3 linked regions of the Nothobranchius furzeri genome follow. The protein of the gene in region 3 interacts with the protein of the main gene of each other region in a biochemical or structural test. Links are inferred from orthologs where the notes say so. Each region holds a gene or a part of one and is shown on either strand. Other genes may lie near its edges. The genes, in order: ube2s, pttg1 and anapc2.

Region 1 (7,887 bases), about 59 Mb from region 3:
TGCAGCTCCCTCCCGCCGGCTGATCACGAGCAGGTGGAGAAAGACCGGACAGGGAAAAAAATTCGCCGTTAACTTTTTCCAAACCTTTACTACATCAAATCAAAACGTTAAAAAATACACTTTACAAAAAGTTGTCACTTGTTTTGAACAACAGCAAAATGCCTTTTTAACCCTTTGGGACCTGATCTCGTTTAGCGATGTTGAACATAAAATCCTTTCAAGTGGATTTATCCTGGTTGAGAGCCAAGAGCAAGGCAGGCTGCGCGGTACACGGTACCATCACAGCAGCAAGAAACACTTCAGACAAACAGACCAGAGAGTTTAAGACGAGGACTTCTGTCCTTTAGGGGACAGGAGTGAAAGCGGTGTCATTTCATCCAATTACGCCGACGGAACACGACGGCAGGATTTTTTAAAGTAGAGCATTTCATTCTCGTGTCTTCGGGTATGGACATAAGTGACGAGCCTGTAGGGCAAAGAGACGAGTTCAAACAAAACAAAACGGTTACAAACTCTGGACTCGAGTGGAAAATAGTCAGAAAAGGGAACAAATTTATATATTTACACTCACACTCTCACACCACTTTCACGTGGAGGTATTAAAGTCGCCTCAGCGCCCGCTTTTTATCCGCTTTCTTTTTTCCTGCTACATTATTTATGCTACTACTATTGCTGCTGGTGGTACTGGCCCCGTTAGCTCCATTACCCAGAGCTGCCGGTACCGCCGCTGCGCTGGGGCCCGCTCTCTTTGTGGGGTCGCCCGCTCTCTTTGTGGGGTCGCCAGCGTGTTTCTTCGGCTGTGGGCCGTCGTTAGGGTCCTGAGGCGCTCCGGACGCACCCAGAGCGTGGATTTCTGTCAGGAGACGGGCTCGAGACTCGTATTCCGCGTAATCCTCCAAAAGCAAGCGCCCCGCTTCTTCGTTCAGAGCAGATTCGGGGTTCGGATGGATGAGAAGACACTTGATGGTCTATTGGAGGGAAAAGGAAGAGATAGATGGTGTCAGAGAGCATTATGCTCCGAAAAAGGACAAACTGACAATCGAGCTTACAAGTAAGACATGTCTGAGGCCAAGTTCTGCTTTCCAGTCCCTCTTCAGCACGTTGACACAGATCTCTCCCTTGTGACCCACGTTGGGGTGAAAAATCTTGGTCAGGAAATACCCCTTGGGCGGAACAGCAGGGAAGTCCTTCCCGAGGACCAGACGCATTCGGAAAATGCCACCAGCAAACGGAGTTCCCTCTGTCAAAGCATAAAGAATTCATTGCGCGAACAGCGTGGCCCGAGTAAGCCAAGCCCAAACTAAAATTAAAGGGCAGGATCACGGATCTGCAGCTCAGGAGAAAAACAAATATTTTCATGATTTCTGGACAAAAACAGATGTAAACATTTATAATAGAAGTAATTAGATAAGAAGAGTAAATGACTGCATATTTGCAGGAATGAAAACATGGAGACCACTGATTTTAGAGTTCTGAAACATTATTTGTGCTTCGTGGGAGAAAAGAGCCACTTTCCAAACGAGGAGATGAAGCCAAACAGGAGCCAGCTAGTGGTAGAAAGTGGCGGTGTGCTGTCTCCTGCCACTAGGGGGCAGTACATACATTTCAGGGTAGTTTTACACCATATCACTGTCAGTGACGCTAGTTTAAAACATTACGGTAAACGTTGTTCCCTGTGGAGCCGAAAACGAGCGACCTCTGCACGATTTCTCAGACTCATTCAACTCCATAACAGGCATGCAACGTGTAGTTTCCTGGTGCTGTACTAGGGCTGCTCGATTATGGCAAAAATAAAAATCACGATTATTGTGACTGAAATCGAGATCTCGATTATTTAAGGCAATTTTTCAATTTATGTTGATTTTATTTGTTTTGATCAGTCATAAAATTGCTCAGGGCACAATCAGGACAAAAATAAAAAAGAAACAAGATGATCACTAAAATAACTCCTGATTCCCAGAATAAAAAGACCAAATAGCTCATAGTTTATGACCCAAGGGCTATAGACCTTGGTTTAACTCATTTAAGTCTAACCAGTACAGACCCAAATACCAATATCCTGCAAATACTGACAGCAAGAATTATACAGCGGCATTTATAACAAATACATGCAAATAAATTGATGTTCACAAAATGTTGCGTAACATTTATTTAGTCGTGTCAAGGTGCTGTAGGAGAGTGCACTAGCACCGTGTCCTCAGAGAGGTTAGTTATTAGTTATCAGTGTGAGGAACTTATTTCTACCTTATTTATAAACTATTTATTTACAAGTCCATCAGTTAATGTAATAATTGTCCCAACCACAGCTGCACCCCCCCACCCCCCAACCCGGTCTCACAGCAATCATGGGCAAGATGCACGTGTGTTTAGCGCGCCGCACGCGCACATTTAGCCATTTTTAGCGGCTCAGGAGCCCGCAGGTGCGGTGTGTGTGTCACTCACTCTAGTTACTCCAACAAGGAGCCGACTCCGAGAGCCGTTTCTTTAGCGACTGACACATCACTACATCATTCCCTTTCCTAATGTCCTGAAGAACGGTCCGGAGCGCAGGCGGAGTGTTTAGCTAACCTGCAGAAATGTCGACGACAGTTATCCAGAAAGTAGCTAAGGGTTACCAGAGATGTTTCTGAGGTGTTCGCTAGGTACTTTTAAGATTTAAAAAGTCAAGAAGGGGGTCTGAAAAGCTGCTAGAAATAGCGTCAAAGTCGATAAGTTGGCAACACGGAGGAGCGCTTCATTTGCAACTCAGGGCAGCGCAAGTGGGAGGAGCAAATAATCGGCTTGTTTTTATAATCGTTCAAAACTCAGATCGTAATTGGGATTAAAATTCGATTAATTGAGCAGCCCTACGCTGTACTTTCTGGATCTTCTCGGTGTCCTGCGCCTGCTGATGACATCACCATACTACGACAATACCGCGCGGTCAAAATATACTGCATCTCTTTTTCGATTCTGTTCTTCCACATATGTTTTGGAAAGAGTTTAGCAGTTTTGTTATTAAATTTGTGTTTCTTACTACCTAAATGCTTGTGAACGTGGTAACGCAACTTCTGTGAGTCAGCCATTCATCTAGTGTGACGTCATCAACAGGCACAGGACGCCGAGCCAGCCAGAAGGAAACAAGGTGTCCCCAATAAACACCAGACCCGCACCCTATGAGAACTACCTTATGGGTTTGTGGTACAAAGCCGCCAATACTTTTCAACGACTGGACATAACTTTATTTATTTTCAATAAAGTTTTGATGGATTTTTTCAGAGATTGACAGTAAAAACTAGGGATGCACCGATATGAATTTTTTGGACCGATATTAATATCACCGTTACGGCCGATAACAGATGTTTGCGATACTGATTTATGCTTCTGAAATCAGCTACTTTTGTATAGACTGAAATTATGCAAGCTGAATTTTTGAATGTTTTGCTTCATTTCTGTTAAGTGGAATTGGCAATATATTATATAAACACACATTTATCTGTTACCTTCACTGTCACAGGACTAAACAATTACACATCATCACCCCCCTTACCCTCGGAAACAGATACACAAACAGAAACAAGATGGAAAAAATATTGTTTGTTAATACCGGCCCAGTTTTACTTGTCGGACTGATATCGCTATGTTAAAAAATGACTAACATTGGCCGATACTGATATTAATGCTGATATATCGTGCATCCCTAGTAAAAACTACACACTGTCTCTTTAACCAACTGAAATGGGAAGTGTGTAAGATAATCAAACTAAACTAACAATAACAGATGTTTAGTTTTTGTTGCATCCTGACTGTTACCTGGTCCTTCAATGGACGTGTGGAGTTCAGTTATGTCTTCTTCACTGGGATAAATCTTGATGCCCTCAGGTGGGTCTGCTGCTAAAGCGGAAACCTCTTTGTAGACCAAACGCAGAACATGAGGGGGCAAATTCTCGACATTAGAGTTCTGAGGAGAGACAGAGCAACGACTTAGCACTAAAGAGTTTCGGTATGAACACTGAATTTCTAAACATGAAACAATATTTTTAAATAAAATATATAAATTTCACCTTTACACTGTTGATGGCCAACGTTAAAATGGCTTTAACTCAATAATGCACGTCATAAATGACTGTTTGCTTTGCTAATTTGAATTTTTTAATAAATAAACACGAAATATCAGAAGTTACACTTAAAATTATGCATAGACAAAAACTAAACAATATTAGTAATATTAATAATTGTATTGTATTTAAAAAGATACACAAAATGAACGTACAGAAGATGTTTAAAGTGAAAATAATGCATTGTGTCAAAGTTTCTACCTATTTGCCAGTCTTTCTGCCAATTTATTATCATTTTTGATCGTTTAAATCAGATAAAACAGTTTTACAACCTCGCTGGGGAACTATTTATCTCACACGGAGATAAAAGAGGAAAGTTTTCTACGCAAAACATTATTTTATTTCCATAATATTCATACAAAAAAAGGCACATTAGTTCGCATCTTGTTGAGTATCTGGAAATGTTACTTCAAATTCAGCAATCAACACGTTTAGGGCAAGCTCAGTATGAACGCGTCTTTTAAAACTACACCTTTAGATAAGTCAAATGTTTGTAATGTCCGCTAACGATCAAATGAACTTAAGTACATTTATGTTACAGCTAGCATTACAAGCCTAGCTTTAAGCAGGTAACCTCAACGCTTCTTGTTATTTTATTCCAATATTAGTTATACTAAAGACGTTGGATAGGTTTTAAAATGAAGGTTCTTTTCTCAACAACTACCGGAATACATATAAAATAGTCAAAACTCAAATAATAAAGAAAATGTTTCGACGACTTAACATCGACTCAAGCTAGGCAACCGTTAGCTGTTAGCATGATGCTAAGTCTTACCATCTTCGAAAAAGAGATCTGTTGAGGTGATAAATGTCCGCCTGGTGTCAGATAAAAAAAAACGTGTTTTCTAATAAAGTTCGAAAAGAAATACAATCTTGGTTGAAAACTTAGTCCAGTCTAACTGTTTTTGTTTTCTTCTTTTCCCAGGAACGAAATTACGTTTCTCAGTTTAAGCTACTGCCATTGACCAATCGGCATTTTAGTGAAATTACGCGTCAGACGATTACAGCCAAACAAGATAGAGTATTTCTGTTACGTCATCAGTAGGAGCACAATCAGCCAAACCGCGCCGAAACAGGACTGATACCAATCAGCTATTGGTCATTTTGAAAAGAAAAAAAAACACGCCCTTGATTAATAATGGATCGGCACCCTTTTATGTCAGCACACGCTGGCGGTGCTCCGGGAAGGTGGAGTTAAAAGGTTCCCTGTTAGTTCAGAACGCAACAAATACATTTACTAAAGGATTTGTGGATTTCACGAATTTTTTAATGATCAGAATACGTTTGATTATTAAAACACGAACTGTTTTTTTAAGTTAGACATTACATTCGGGGCAGATAACTATACATTTACTATTCTTTATTCACATAAGTACTAACATATTCATTGTCATATCCAATATATCAGCTAGATAGATAGATAGATAGATAGATAGATAGATAGATAGATAGATAGATAGATAGATAGATAGATAGATAGATAGATAGATAGATAGATAGATAGATAGATGCTTATCTAGAATAAAATAAGATAAAATGCATAAATGATAAATACAATAAAAGTGTTGTAAAATACATTAAAGAAGTTGTTATACATAAAAGTAACAGAGAGTGATAATTTTTACTTTTGAAAATGTAATGTATTCTATTGATTTCGTGTCATTACACATATGTTGTCGCTGACATTTATATTACTTATGAAGGAGAACGTTTTTGTTTTTGAAAACCAAAGATACTGCCAATCCATAATTTTCAATTGGATAATCTAATAGTTCAAATGTGTTGTTCATCATTCTAATCATGGTTCAGTGCTCTACAATCACTGAAAAACAACAGTCATGTGTTAAATCTAATCAGGAAGAGTTGAAGCTCATTCAATACAAAACACGCCAATGAAAACTGTACTGTGTGCGATTCATAAGAGTGTAGTTATGTGGCGGATTAACACGCAGTTATGTGTAGTTAGGGTGTTTTTTATGAGCCAGGACCACATTTGTAATATTTTATCACCACCTCTAGTAATGCGCCCGTTTCTAATCATGACCACTAGAGGGCGCTGTAGCACAACGTCACCGTTTATTTCAACCCGTTGGAATACGTTAGCACTTCTCGTTTGAAACCCATAAAATAAGATGTTTGCACCGCTAATTTTACGTTATTTTCGGTTCTCATAGGTTAAACGGAATCTAATCTACGCATGTTGTTTACTTATTTAAGACTGGATGCATATGTGAAGTCATCTAATCAACAACACAACACAACAAGGGCGCTACTTCCGGTTTCTGGATGTAGCCACCAGACTCCAGCATCGTTTCGGGGACTTGCTTCATCAGCAGGTCGGTGGCTTTATTTGGCTGTTGTTGATTATTAACAGGTCACCGTGCCGCTCTTTTTCTAACCATCGGCAGCCAAACAGAGAGAAGAATCATTGGGAGGCACAGGGACGAGTGAGTAAGCAGATACTAACTAGCGGCATGGTTGCCTGTAATGATGTTTATTTTGATCGACAACGGTACTTATTCTGTTTTGAAGTATGAACGAAGGAGAAGTGTTTCACGAGAAGCAACGCTTGGAGCTGTGTGCGATTCACGCACTCAACAACGTGCTCCAGGAGCGAGTGTTTACCAAGGAGACCGCCGATGACATCTGTAAACGGTATGGGAATGTTCCAGCGTGTTTGCTGGAGACGCAACAGTCAGCTGCTCCTCTTAGCTCCAGAAACAGAGAAAAGATGGGTTTTCTTGTACTTCAGTCGACTTTTACTGTAAATCTCTCTTTCCACCAATAACTCAAAAGGTAGAACCAAGATTCTGGTTAAAGATCGACCGATGTGGGTTTCTCCAACTGATACCGATATTTAGATGTTTTCGGACTTGTCTCGATGTTAAAATGTCATTTTCAAACAATAGGTGCTCAACATTTCTGAGCTACTCTCTGAACAGAGTTTAACCGACTCATGATTATTAATTTTGTGCATTGCCAAGTATTAACTCATTCAATGCCAGCCGTTTCCTGATCGCTAACGGACTTCGCTGCCAGCGTTTCTCACCGTTTTTTACTGTTTTTTTTAAGAGTCACAGAACATTGCGCGCTAGGATGATGTCGACGCCAAAACAAAGAGGAGACTCACCTCTTACATCGGGAAGAATCCGCGTGTTTCGAGCGTTATCCGTTCTTTCATAATCCGTTGTTGAATTATGATCGGCAGACGCTTTTCCGGTTCGCGCCTCACTTTTTTTTACAGGAACAGGCCTAAACGATCTCCTAACACATAGATTTTCTGCTTCCTGATCACGTGACGTGTGACGTATGCGGATGAAGATCGGCTTCAGGGCTTAAATGTTTGTTCTCTCAGCGCTGGGGCTCGTTCCGATGCTCAAACAGTAAAATAATGCAAATGAAGACTAAAGTCGTCATTTGCAGTAAACGGTTGGATCTAAAATGATGACTTTAGTCGTCATTGGCAGTGAATGAGTTAAACTCAAGCTATTAACCAAAGTTAATCAAACAAATAAACAAATTAAACTACAAAACAGGTAAATAAATTTAAAAATATTGCCGTTTGACGATAATGCTTTAGAGCATTTATAAAGTTGGTGTTTTTCAGGAACGTAAGTATAGATTTAGATGAAATTTGACAGCAGCACGGGGCTGCCCACGGATGTGCCTTGCTTTAAATCTGCGCTACCAGTCTTATCACAGACTGGCTGTCGCTATGAAAACACGTTTTCTGTGAGCTTTTATTAATCCAACTAGTTATTTTAGGGGGTTTGACCTACAGGATGATTAA
Region 2 (8,038 bases), on a different chromosome or scaffold from region 3:
AGATTAGGAACAGTAGGTAAAACAACTTTATTTGAATAAAATGACAAACACACCAAAAAAAACAAAACACACTAAAAGTCAACAGGCTCTGGAGGAAGCTCTGTCAGCTCATCAAGTGTTTGTAGGAAATCCTCCAGCTCCAAACGCTCATCTGAAAATGAAGACAGTATGGTTAATGATGTGCTCCAGACTCAGGCTTCAATTAGCTACTGCACACATCTATCATTACAGAGTGCTACACACTGATTTAAATAAGTCTTAAATCACAAAGCTACACCCAACATTTACCTCACAGCCACAGATTACCCTGTTCAAAGGTTCTGCTTTTATGACTCAGATGATCCATCTCAGCTGGCCAATAATCTGTGGTGAATTCATAGTTTCATGTGCTTTCAATGACCGAAACAAATTTACATATTTGGCCTTGACCAATATCTTTGATGTTATTCATTTGTTAAGATCAAGATGCATTACAGTGAACATTAAAATAAAGTACATGTTTCTAGTGCAGAGAGGAGACAACCCATAGAAGCACTGATTTTATCTCATTTCAGAGAATAGAACAGGTCAGATGCACCTAATAAATAAAATTACTAACAAACTCAGGAATCTGTTTCTTTGCTTCACTGTTCTGGTGCTAAAAATATCACTAATGCAGATCAAAGGAGATACAGATTAATGCATCTTATTTGGAAATTAGTGTGTGTGGTTTACATCAATACATTATTTTAAGTCTGAAATTGATATGGATTGATCAGAAGTTGCTATGTGTGTTTATTTTAAAACTATTTACAGAGCAGCCTCAGAATTGAGATTAAATATTTTTGATCACAATAGTAAAGGAACTATTACAGAACCAGTTTCAGTAAAATCAGAATATTATTCAAGTGCATGAATTAATACATCTGAACTCATGCAGTAGGAACTAGGATATATGAAATACTAGAACCAGACACAACTTTTTTAAATTTTAATTTGATTAAACTGATTTGTTTCCCAACATTGTTGGCATTTTTCCCTATACACAGTTAAACAAAACAATGTTGATCAAGGTGTGTGAGAGAGGGAGAAGAGTGTAAATATAAATTTAAAAAACCTGACCGGAGCAGAGGCAGTGACCAACGCATGCACGAGCAGTTTTTCGCTCCGTCTTGTCAAATGCACCATGTAAGTTACGAAAAAAGTAAATTTAAATATTGAACTGAAAGAGGCGAGCTGAAGAAAACCTAAGGAGTACCGAAGAAACGTGAACAACAGTGAAGCAAGCACAGATCCGTTACGGTCTGTGTGTGCGTGGATGCCTGGGCCGAGCGGACTGAGCTCCCGTCTCAGCTGCAGAGTTGTGTGTAGGGAGGGGCGGGCGCTCTATGTGTCTGGCCAACCACAGAGCGTAAAGACAGTTACCCAATGAGGATTTTCCTTCAGCACGATTACAGATATTTACGAGTTTTACACTCGTATTAGTCAAAAATGCTTTATCCGTACACTCATCCCTAGCTGTAACCACCCTGCCTCCTCCTTGCTGCCTGCCAGCTGTGATCACAAGCAACAACACAGTAGTTCCTGCTGCTTCTTCGGGAAACGGCGCAAAAAATAAATAAAGAAATAAAACTTGGGACCTTGTAGGCGTGGCAGTGGGATTTTAGCCATGGTGGGCCGCCACGGCTACGCCTATGTAAGGGAAACACTGGGATGCATATCAGTGATCCAAACTCCCTTCCCCGTGGGCCGGTACGTTTTACTAGTTTCCCTGCTTCAATGTGCCTGATTTTAATCAGCAGGTGATTAACAGGCTTCTGCAGAGCTTGATGACAGGTGATTGAAGTGTGTTGAATGAGAGCAGGCGTAGGCAAGCCTGGTCCCAGAGTACTACCACTCATGTTTTTGTTGATTCACTTGTTCAGCAGCTCACCAAGCTCCTGCTGATTAAAATCATGTGTTGGAACAGGGAAACAACTAAAACATGCTGGATACTGGCCCTCAAGGAAGACAGTTACCATTAGAGTATGTTGTCTGTTAATGCTTAGCTCGACAATCATTGTTTGAAAGAGTTTCACAAAATTGCCAGATTATCCATCATTATGCCACGAGGGAAGATGAACAGTTCAGGAATTAAAGAGTCATATTCAGACATTTAAAGTCAAGAGTTTCTATCAGGTGGGCTAAGCCATCATCAGTGGTCTGCCTTTTAGAAAGTTGAGTTAGAAATCAACTTAGTAACTATGAAGCATAAATGCAAACAGTTAAGAGTAAATATTAAGTGCATACCTGAATATTTTGGCATCTTTATGGGTGACAAGTCTGGAAGTGGAGCCATCTCTGTCAAATCCTCCTCACACAGCTTAGAAAGAGTTGTGGGAAAACAGGCCAAACCAGGAAGTGCCAAGCAGCTAAGAGGGATCAAGTCCTCAGGGACGCTGTACCTCTCAAACTCTGGGAAACATTAGAACCTTGTTTAAAACATGCAGAAAACAGTCCTCCGAGCACAAGACAAAGCAATATAGAACATTAAACTTGTCTAAAGTTTCTATAGGAAGGAAATTAGATCACGTGTGTTGGAGCCTCTTTTGCAGTGTATAGATGCTCAACTTTAATAATGACCAGCTTAAGTCAGATGCTGGTGGAAATCTATTGAGTTTGTAAACTAAAAATCTGAGCAATTATTTTGAGCAGGAATTTTTATTTAGTGGCAACAATGCGGGGAACTCGTACCTAGAAGCTTGATATTTCTACATCAGCCATCTTTTGCAAACTATTATACACTGTGTGTATAATAGTTTGCAATTGAGGGGGAAATAAGTATCGACTTCACTGAAATGTATTGTTTTAGGCAACTGAATAAAAGTCAAACTCAATTTACCCAAGGGGTCATACGGGATAAACTTCTCAATTTCTGGATATTCCTCAATTTTGGTTTGAGGAGCAGGCTCGACTTTGTTTTCCTATTGAAACAAAAACAAAACAAAACATTGACTTGGTACAACAAGGTAAAGAGAAATGGATGGCAAAGATCTGGGGCCTCATTTATCAAGCTTGCTTACGCACAAAACGGGGTCGGAAAACTGCGTAAGCAACTTTCCACGCAAACTTTGGGATTTATGAAAGAACTTAGCGGAAAAATGTGCACAACTTTAAGTTGACCAAGGACCTTGCTTACGCACATTCTGGACATGGAGAGCACCTGCAGTGCTGCTGCTGAGAATGATAAAATTATTAATTCCAGCAGCATTATCACTTGTACCACTTTGTGCTCACACAGAATAAGCAACAAGTACATTTTTTTTGCTGAGCTTAAGTACAGTTTTATTAAGGATTCTACGCAATATTTGATAAATTAGACCCCTGAACTTTTAGTTTAGTATGGCATCTTAGCTGTGATTTGAACTTCATACAAAAAGATGCAAATAATACTTTGTCAAAATATTTTTTTATGCGTGAACTGAAGACTGTCCAGAACCCAACCTGTGGCTTCAATAGAGTCTTCTCCTGTGCAGAGACTGCTGGGGTCAAAACCTTGTTCACAGCTCCAAAAGCTTTACGACCAAATGGCAGAGGTGTTTTAACAGATTTAGCTGCCTCTGAATTCAGAAGTTTCTCTGGTAGAAAAATAAAAAAAATGTGAACTCACATCCAACATCACCTGCTAACATAGGAAAAATATTCAGTTCAGAATACCTGGAGCAGACTGAAGTCGCTGTCGCATCTTCAGCGAAGGCACATGAAGACCAGCATTTTCTTGCTCTGCAAGGATGTTTGCCATTTTTATCTGACAAACACATGCAAACGTTATATTCTGCACCAAAATGCAAAAACGTTTTTCAAAACAGCAAAGCTAAAAGTGAGCTTTGTAAACTTTCAGCAGTGGGGGAAAAAGGCAAAACAGATTTAGCCAAATCCTAAATTAATTTAATACAAGCTTATTTGTTTTAAACTACTTTAAATATCTAGTTTGAAGCCTTTAGCAATTATTTTATAGAACACTTATCCAATCCCAAAATATACATTTTATTTCAAGTTAGTCACCTTTATTTACTGAAAACAGATCACCTGAGTACCAATCAAACCTATCAGAAATTTTTGACAAGTGTTTATTTTTTAAACTTTTCCCGAACACTGACATACAAACGTTAACAACGGTTTTTTGACCGCTAAACAGATATTTAAAAAAACAAAACAATCAAATGTTAGCTTATATGCTAGCGCTGTATAACGTCTTAATCGTTCGCGGGTTTATGGATATTATCTTGACCCATTCAAAGAAAATAAACTATAAATTTAACTTGAACTGCTCTCTTTGATAACTCACCTCTACGAAACACAACCTCTAACTCAGTAGACTCGACCTGACCGTGCTGCTCACTCGGTTGAGGTTAAGAAACTGTGTACGAACGAACGACCGCGAGCCAATTTTAAATTCACGGCATCCTTCCTATTGGCCAATATCACGCACGTGACTAAAATAGGCGTCGCCTACTAAGTGTTGTTAGCATTGAAGATTAATTGTGAGTCGTAACACCTGATTTATTTACGCTCATGGCTACACATGCTTTACAAAATTGTCGGCCACTACTATAAACTAAACTAATTTGTTTCAGGATGTTATGTGTGTCTGTGTGCTTCTTTATTTTATCAAGTTACATCACATCTGCTCACTACCATTCATATCAGACGAAACCATTAAAGCATTCGATGGGGGACTTTCTTTATGTGTTATTTTATGTCTTCTGCCATCATTTAGAAGCCGCTTCTGTTAATAGAAGTCATCGGTTTTAACAGATACATATGTATTGTCATTGGAAGTTCAGCTACTACCTTTATAAGAAATGCGACATACTTTGATAAAATGGTACATTTCAAGCAGGCCAGGTTTCAGCGTAGCGGCGCAGCTTCCTTTGCTGAAGTCAGAGCGACAGTGGGTTCGTCCTCCGGCTACTAACACTCACCATGGCGTCAACTGAGATAGCAAGGCAAGCCGTAAGTAGTCTGTTTGACTCTAAAATCCATTGTATGCATTTATTACATCTTCGATATGCTGGGAATCGTTTCAACTTATTTGTGTAACGGGTTATTTTGGAGTCGGTTAGCTTGCTAACACCCGTGTTCACATTCGAAATTCACCATTGCGTTGCTAATTTAGAGTCTGTTTATAATAAATCGTGTTTTTAGATAACAAATTATGCATCTAAAATGCTCTTCGTCTGATGATGTTAAATCAAGGCGCATCACCTCGTGCATTTACCTTTCCGGTGAAACAGCTTTAGCATTGCATTTGCAAATGCCCTTAGATTTCATGTGGTGTTTATTTGAAACAAATGCATGGCGAAATGGCACATTGTGTGATTTTAAATGTTTAATTGAGTTTAGTAGGTGCTGGATCGTTAAAAATGACGGATCCACACAGATCGATCGGTAGGCCATTCATTCTGAAAGCCCCCGTTTCAGCACAACCTCGGTGCTCATTTCCGTTACCGTGTTTTATTTAGGAACCCGTTAACTTTCACACAGGCGTTGTCTTGATTGCTTGCAAAACAAAGACAAGAGTTCAAGACTTGTTTTGGAGAGGAAAGGGGATTTTACACACTCCTTGTTATCCAAGCTTGTTTTTTAAGTGGGGAAAGGAAGCCACTTAACCCAGAGGGAGTTCTTAGAATAGCAAGATAGTGCAGTTTGATACCCCATTGTGGCTCAATGAATGAAACCGGCTGTGTGCTTCTTGGCTGTGAGCGTCATGAAAAGCGAGGATGATTTCAGGAATGTTGTGCTTGCATTCTCAACATTAAACAGGCTGTTTGTTCAGTTACATTAGTCCCAGATTTCTTCAGGTCCTCAGCTGTTCAAACCCAGCTTCAGAATATTCCACGACTGTTCAGTGACACCAGAATGTTTGGGTATTTTAAATTTACAGAGTATTTTTCGCTCAAAGTCTTTGTCAAATTGGACAACAACACTGTTATGCTAAGCCACATAATAGCCGGTTGTCTGAGGTTCAGCTGGTGGAGAGCTTTTGCTTCTGGCATCCAACGTAAATTCTTTGCTTCCCTGTAGCTCTTGATATAAATGTAGGCAGTAGAAACGAGAATCACAGCGATCGGGATGCTTACTACCAGCTAAACACCCCCACACACTTTTAACAGCAGCACGTTGACCCTTTTTTTTATTTTTGATGTGTGTGTTTAAAAGTATAGCGGAAGATTCATCTAATCCCAGTCACAGAGCTGGCTCTTAAGCTTTTAATCATCATTAAATGAGTTTTTATTACATTTGCTTGGATCTTTCTTATCTAGACATGAACAGCAGTGTCTTTCCATATATGTACACAGTGGTTTTGAACCGTCTGACGGAAGAGAGCTGCTGCTGAGAAAACAGGAAGTGAATGACTTCACCTGAACTCAGGCTTATTCTCTTAACAATCTCTGGTGGAAAACATGGCTCCATCATGGGGCTTTTTTTAAGTGCGTCTTAATCTTGTTCTGAAATTGCACCCAGACAAAACCTATCATTGTAAAGAGACCAATTAACTGATAGTTGTTGTTGATTTCTTTTGTTTTTCAGGGTGAAGGAGTTCGGGCTGTGCCTCTGGCCGGCCATGTTGGTTTTGATAGCATGCCTGACCAGTTGGTCAACAAGTCTGTCAACCGTGGCTTCTGCTTTAACATCCTCTGCGTTGGTAAGTGTAAAGACCATCAGCATGGAGTTCAAAACTTGGTGATTTTATTTCCACGCAGCACCTTCATGTGGTAAAACACAGATCAATGAAATTCATTTATAGGTTCAGTTTACCAGTATGAGGAAGATGCTCCTGGTTTTTATAGGAAGTAGGAAACACACACACATCATAACTCAGGCAGTCTTGTTTTTTGGATCTTCTGCACACTGAATGGTGCATGGCCTGTATTTGATATAGGGCCTTTTAGATTCCTGGACCCCCCCCCCCCCCCCACCACCACCACCACACACACACACACACACACACGAGGCGCTTTACAACACAATCAGTCATTCACCCATTCACACCCAGGTGGAGATGAGCTACGATGTAGCCACAGCTGCCCTGGGGCACTCCGACAGAAGCGAGGCTGCTGAGCACTGGCGCCACCGGCCCCTCCGACCACCACAATCAGGCAAGGGGGGTTAAGGGTCTTGCCCAATGACACAATGGCAGTGACAAACTGAGCAGGGCTCAAACCTGCAACCTTCCAATTACGGGGCGAGCACCTAACCTGTGCCACCGTCACCGTGTGAAATCTGTAAAGTTCCCTTTAATGTGTTTTCCTGTCTGGGACCTGTCAAATGTCCAGAAAACAATAGACTTTTGTCCTGCTTTGAGTTGTTTAGGACTATGTTGCTTTTTTCTGCTGAAGAATAAGATATAACCTAGTTCTGTGCACATCAGCACACAAAAGTATTAATAAATACACTTTTCTCAGTTTATAGTCTTTGTTTTACGGTTTGCTCGTTTATTCCATGCACAGTGGTACACCTGCATACACAAACAGTCATGGTAAAGGGAAAGAAAATCACCTCACAATGTGTTAGCTGCTTGTGGATCACCCCACTTCCCATCCTCTTCCTCCCTCTCCACGTTACAACAATAGATGGATTATGTAAAATAATAAATTGTAGGAAGTGTGATTTATCACAAGCCATCAAAGATAATGTGTACTGTAAACAACCTTTGTAGTAGTTACACACTGCTCAAACAATTTAAAGCAACACTTTGAAAACACAACAATCATTTTGAGGGGAAACATCCAGACGGATATCCATACTGAAAAGGCAATGTGTAAGGAACAAAAGGGTGCCTCATCATTGGGGTGGAAGAAAATATTGATACACTGAAATATCACAGTATTTTGTGTCGTGACACTGAATCGGCAATCAAAGGCAGTGTATTGATTTTTTGTTAACACTTAACATGAAAACATTTACTGTATTTCTTTTGTGAGGTGCAATTCAAACTCCGACTGCTAGGTGGCAGCCTTCGTTCTGACTGAACAACAAGGTAACACTGGATGTGTCTAGGAAGTGTCTGGCCTGA
Region 3 (4,153 bases):
TGTAAAAAATAAACTCTAAATAAACTATGTTCACATCCAGAATCTAACCCGGGTCTTCTGCATGAGAGTCAGACATCTTACAAGGTGAGCTACACTCTAGTAACATTCACAGTATCTATAACTTTTATATCCTTGATGACAGCTGAAACGTTCAAAGAACGGTTCGAAGCGAAAATGGCTATTTTGTTGCTAATTTGCAGGAAATATCTAGAAGAAAGTTCTACAGAAAGTAGCTAAGGGTCCTCAGAAATATAGCTAGGTTTGTTACTAGGCGTTAGGAAGTTGGCACTGCCTCTCTCTCTGCTGCTAAAGCTACGGATAGCAAATGCTACGGGCTATGCCTGAGCGTGAACGCGCATGAAGCAGCCTGCTCGACCCGAGCATCTCTCTTTTTCTGTGATTTTACAGAAAAACAGGCAATCACAGTAAAAATGCCAGGGCTCATTCTACAGGACCAGGGCATTGCAGGAGAATGTATGAAGAAGACATTTATTATTTCTATACATGTTTTGGCTGTCACACTTCCGTACAGTCCCTTTAATTTAAAACAATAAAAATTTAAACATTTTAAATTATCTCTAAATGACCAGATGGTTGCTTGTTGCTCTGATGAAACACAGAAGATCTCTGATAACGTTAAACACAAAGCCTCAGAAAGCAGGTTTAACGTTCTGACCTTATTTATAAACACAAACAAACCATCACTGCATCAGCCACATAATGAAGATAAAACATGACCTCCTCTCCTCAGGTCTCACCTCGGATGATGCTGAAGAGCTCTTCGATCCTCATGTTGACGTAGATCCTGCAGAAGAACTGATGCATGTGGCATCTCCACTGCTTCATGATGGAGCTGGCAGGCTGGGTGCCCTGGATGCTGGACTGAATGGGACCACTGGGAGCAGCAGGAACAGGAGTGGCTCCGTCCACCTCACTGGCGAACACTTTGCTCAGCCAGCCAAGAACCAGCTCCAGCCACTGCAGGGACAGAAGAGCGTCAGAACATGAAGACAGGAGAGGAAACGGTGGAAAAGGGGTTTTACCTCCTGGAAGTCCAGCAAGAAGGAGCGCTCGTACTCGCCCCGGCAATGCTGCTCCATCCGCTGCTCGATGAGCTTGTGGAGGATGCAGGTGATGGCCTCTGAGCTGACCCACTCCAGCAGCTGTAGCTTCAGTCTACAAACACAAACAGCTGATCAAACATTCATCCGGACGAAGCAACAGCAGAAACAATCAGCAGTGAGATCCTCTCACAGTATGTGGCTGAGCTCCTGCAGCTGCTCCAGGGCCTCCTGACACCAGCACCTCAGGACCGGGACCCCACACCCTGGGCAGGACCCTCCACTGGGGCTGTCTGGAGCCTCGGCCACATCCTCATCGCTGCCCTCCAGTTTCATGTAGACGGAGAAAGTCCTGCTGTAAAACTCCAGCACTCGCTCCTGCAGAATGGGGGGAGGAGAGAACAGCAGGAGGGCTCTGATGGTGGTGAAGGCTCGCTCCTGGAGGCCACTGGGACCTGGACCACACAGACCACCACGACCCTCATCCTGCCACGCCCCAAGCTTCTCCAAACCACCTGCATGGAGGGAGATGGGAAACTAATTACCTGTTCCTCTTTGGTTTTATCCACAAAATAATATAGTGAAAGTCTGGAAAGCAAAAAAAATCCAAACAACTTTAGAAGTTGGAATAAAATCTTAAAGATTCAAGGACAAGGTCATCACTACTGTATTTGTTCTACTTGCTCAGAAAAGGTTCCAGGCGGTCCAACAGAGTCCTAAAAGCAGTGAGGAGAACCCATGCTCGATCTTTTTCCTCCAGCTCGTTCTCCGGCTGTTTCAGGCAAGACCAGAACTCTGGAACCACCGAGGACGACAGGCGCATCTGCAAAGTTTCCAGCAGCCAGATCCCGAGCAGTCGGCCCAAACCATGACTGCAGAGCAGAAGCAAGGAGTCAGAGAGGCTCTGGTCAGACACCGGGCATCCAGAAGACACCTAGAGAAGGACCCAAACAGAATGGTGGTATGAAATCCACCACAGAATCATCTCCAACCAGAAAAGGGCTGCTGGATGTCTGGTATTCAGGGGCAGGTGGTTAATGTAGGAATGGATGAGAGATGGAATCAGAACTGAGTAAAAGAGCAAAATCATTTCCAACATAAAATACACATTTTATTATAATATAGGTGTTTAATATAAGCCTTTTTCGACATGTCATTTGTGTTTGTTTTTAACTAAATGGCTGACTCAAACTTATGAATATTGAGTTGTTAGTAGTCAACCCATTTTTCTTTGCATGGAGTAAAGTTGTCAGTAAACACGATGACGTCAACAAATGTAAGCCGAAATCCACCGAATACTCCTGCTGACTATTTATAACGCCAGTTTTGTGTCTAGCCCTTAATAAACCAATGTAAAATCCAAAACATCATTCAATCGTGTGATTTACGAATGGAGTCTTGTGACAGCACTTCATTCAGTGTTTGGTTGCTCGTGTCCGAGGCTCTGACCCACTCACCAAAGCTGCAGTCACGGATTCCCACGCCTCAGCGAGCCCCTGGAGCGCTCCGGGCTCAGACATTTCCACCGAATCCGATTCCATCATCATTTCCTCCATTTTATGACACTTTCTTCACAAATGCCGAACCGGCTCCTGTAGATTCAGCATTTAAACCTCAGCATGTCTTGTCTTACCGCGGCGCTATGTGTAAAAAGCATGCCCCGTGTCTCAACCGTGTTTCAACGAGTTTACTAAATAATAACTTTTCCATTCAAGCAAATAGTAATTTACAATACAGATATGAACATGGTATGGCGGGTTGACTTCTTCTACTTTTTTTTATCACTTACATGCTACAGGGGTGGACACTGCCCCCTGCAGGTACCGTCCGTAAAAAGTATTTGTTGAGTTTGAATCGGTTTTAATGTTTACTCGCCCCCTCTAGCGGTTAGAATAATCACTACAGCCGGCCACAGACACAAGTTGACAGAACTGAACTACAAAATAAAACATTTCAAAATTGCTTATACAAACTCCACCAGGTGTCAGTAAAGGCCAAATGTTATGAAACTGTACTTATTTTTGTATAAAATTTAAATAAAATCTTTCGAAACGGATGTTAATATCAATAAATATTTCGACATATCTTAGAGAGTAATATAGATGCTTAATGTCTGTGAAGGTTCTCAGTCATCCAGGTCATTGTAGTCTAAGGAGCTTTGAAAGAAAAGCGTCTGGACTTCTTTGAGTTGCTTGAAGACAAAGCTCCTTAGACCATAGATGCTTAATGCACACAAATACAGCTATAAATAATAAATAAATAAATAAACATTTTTAAAAACTGGATCATGACATGTCTTTTAAACGCCGTCGTGTCTCTTATTTTGACAGGTTGTGTGAAAACCGTATCCGCCTTAGCAGCAGCTAGCAGCAGAGACATCATCATGGCAACCGAGTACGAGTGAGTTTGTTGATATGGCAAAAATTCCTTCAAAATATTCATGACACGCTTTGAATTTTACCCGCACGCTCCCGCACATTAAGGTTTGCTGTTCTCGGTACAATCGGATGAAATGTCGTAGGTGTTGTAGCTAGCTGAAGGGGAAGCTAACAGGTTACGTCAAAAGGGCCAGGCTAAAAACAGTAAATAAGCCGAAAACCGTTTTTGTTTACAGTGTTCAGTCTGAGATCGAGGTTCTGCAGTCCATCTATCTGGACGAGCTGAAGGTGGACAGAAGGGACGAGGGGTAAATCTGCTCATTTCAGAACATCTTTGTGTTATAAATCACTGGTTGGGTTATATGTGAGCAAATAATGATATGAAGACGTTAAATATTTGCAACAAAGGGATAAGAATGTCTCCCAAATCTATTTGATGGGAAAAAACTCAGCTGATTATGTTATATATATGTATATATATTTTTTAACTCTTACCATGGGTTTAATTTAATGACAGTCAACCAGAATTAAATGCATCTGTATAAAAAATTATTAGCAATCAAAACAAACATAATAGTATCTATTTTTCCAGGAAATGACTGAGTGATGAATTGGAAAGTGCAGCCAGTGTATTCATTAAACTGAGTAGACAATAGTGGTTCTCATTTGGTCCTAAGCAGAAATGTCTAGAAACATATTTTAATTTGGTGGGGC

Evidence for each region.
Region 1: the proteins of anapc2 (region 3) and ube2s form a complex in vitro, tested with the Homo sapiens proteins (3 studies listed by BioGRID and IntAct). The link is inferred for Nothobranchius furzeri from reciprocal best matches to the Homo sapiens genes ANAPC2 and UBE2S.
Region 2: the proteins of anapc2 (region 3) and pttg1 form a complex in vitro, tested with the Homo sapiens proteins (2 studies listed by BioGRID, with this or other methods). The link is inferred for Nothobranchius furzeri from reciprocal best matches to the Homo sapiens genes ANAPC2 and PTTG1.

Annotation. Positions count from the first base shown.
Region 1 is NC_091745.1:76,823,571-76,831,457, reverse strand, and holds ube2s (ubiquitin-conjugating enzyme E2 S), read right to left. Parts: upstream 5,051-7,887; 5' UTR 4,876-5,050; coding exon 4,873-4,875; intron 3,941-4,872; coding exon 3,793-3,940; intron 1,241-3,792; coding exon 1,050-1,240; intron 969-1,049; coding exon 600-968; 3' UTR 376-599; downstream 1-375. Other genes in the region: josd2 (josephin-2), read left to right, coding at 6,295-6,433, 6,506-6,548, 6,630-6,752. UniProt on the Homo sapiens protein: Accepts ubiquitin from the E1 complex and catalyzes its covalent attachment to other proteins. Catalyzes 'Lys-11'-linked polyubiquitination.
Region 2 is NC_091741.1:85,724,413-85,732,450, forward strand, and holds pttg1 (securin), read right to left. Parts: upstream 4,406-8,038; 5' UTR 4,307-4,405; intron 3,767-4,306; 5' UTR 3,761-3,766; coding exon 3,676-3,760; intron 3,597-3,675; coding exon 3,463-3,596; intron 2,943-3,462; coding exon 2,861-2,942; intron 2,434-2,860; coding exon 2,269-2,433; intron 152-2,268; coding exon 72-151; 3' UTR 9-71; downstream 1-8. Other genes in the region: septin6 (septin-6), read left to right, coding at 4,945-4,974, 6,553-6,667. UniProt on the Homo sapiens protein: Regulatory protein, which plays a central role in chromosome stability, in the p53/TP53 pathway, and DNA repair. Probably acts by blocking the action of key proteins.
Region 3 is NC_091745.1:17,481,292-17,485,444, reverse strand, and holds the start of anapc2 (anaphase-promoting complex subunit 2), read right to left. Parts: upstream 2,801-4,153; 5' UTR 2,618-2,800; coding exon 2,519-2,617; intron 1,996-2,518; coding exon 1,746-1,995; intron 1,577-1,745; coding exon 1,255-1,576; intron 1,177-1,254; coding exon 1,044-1,176; intron 979-1,043; coding exon 759-978; intron 1-758. Other genes in the region: E3 ubiquitin-protein ligase RNF25, read left to right, coding at 3,349-3,461, 3,676-3,747. UniProt on the Homo sapiens protein: Together with the RING-H2 protein ANAPC11, constitutes the catalytic component of the anaphase promoting complex/cyclosome (APC/C), a cell cycle-regulated E3 ubiquitin ligase that controls progression through mitosis and the G1 phase of the cell cycle.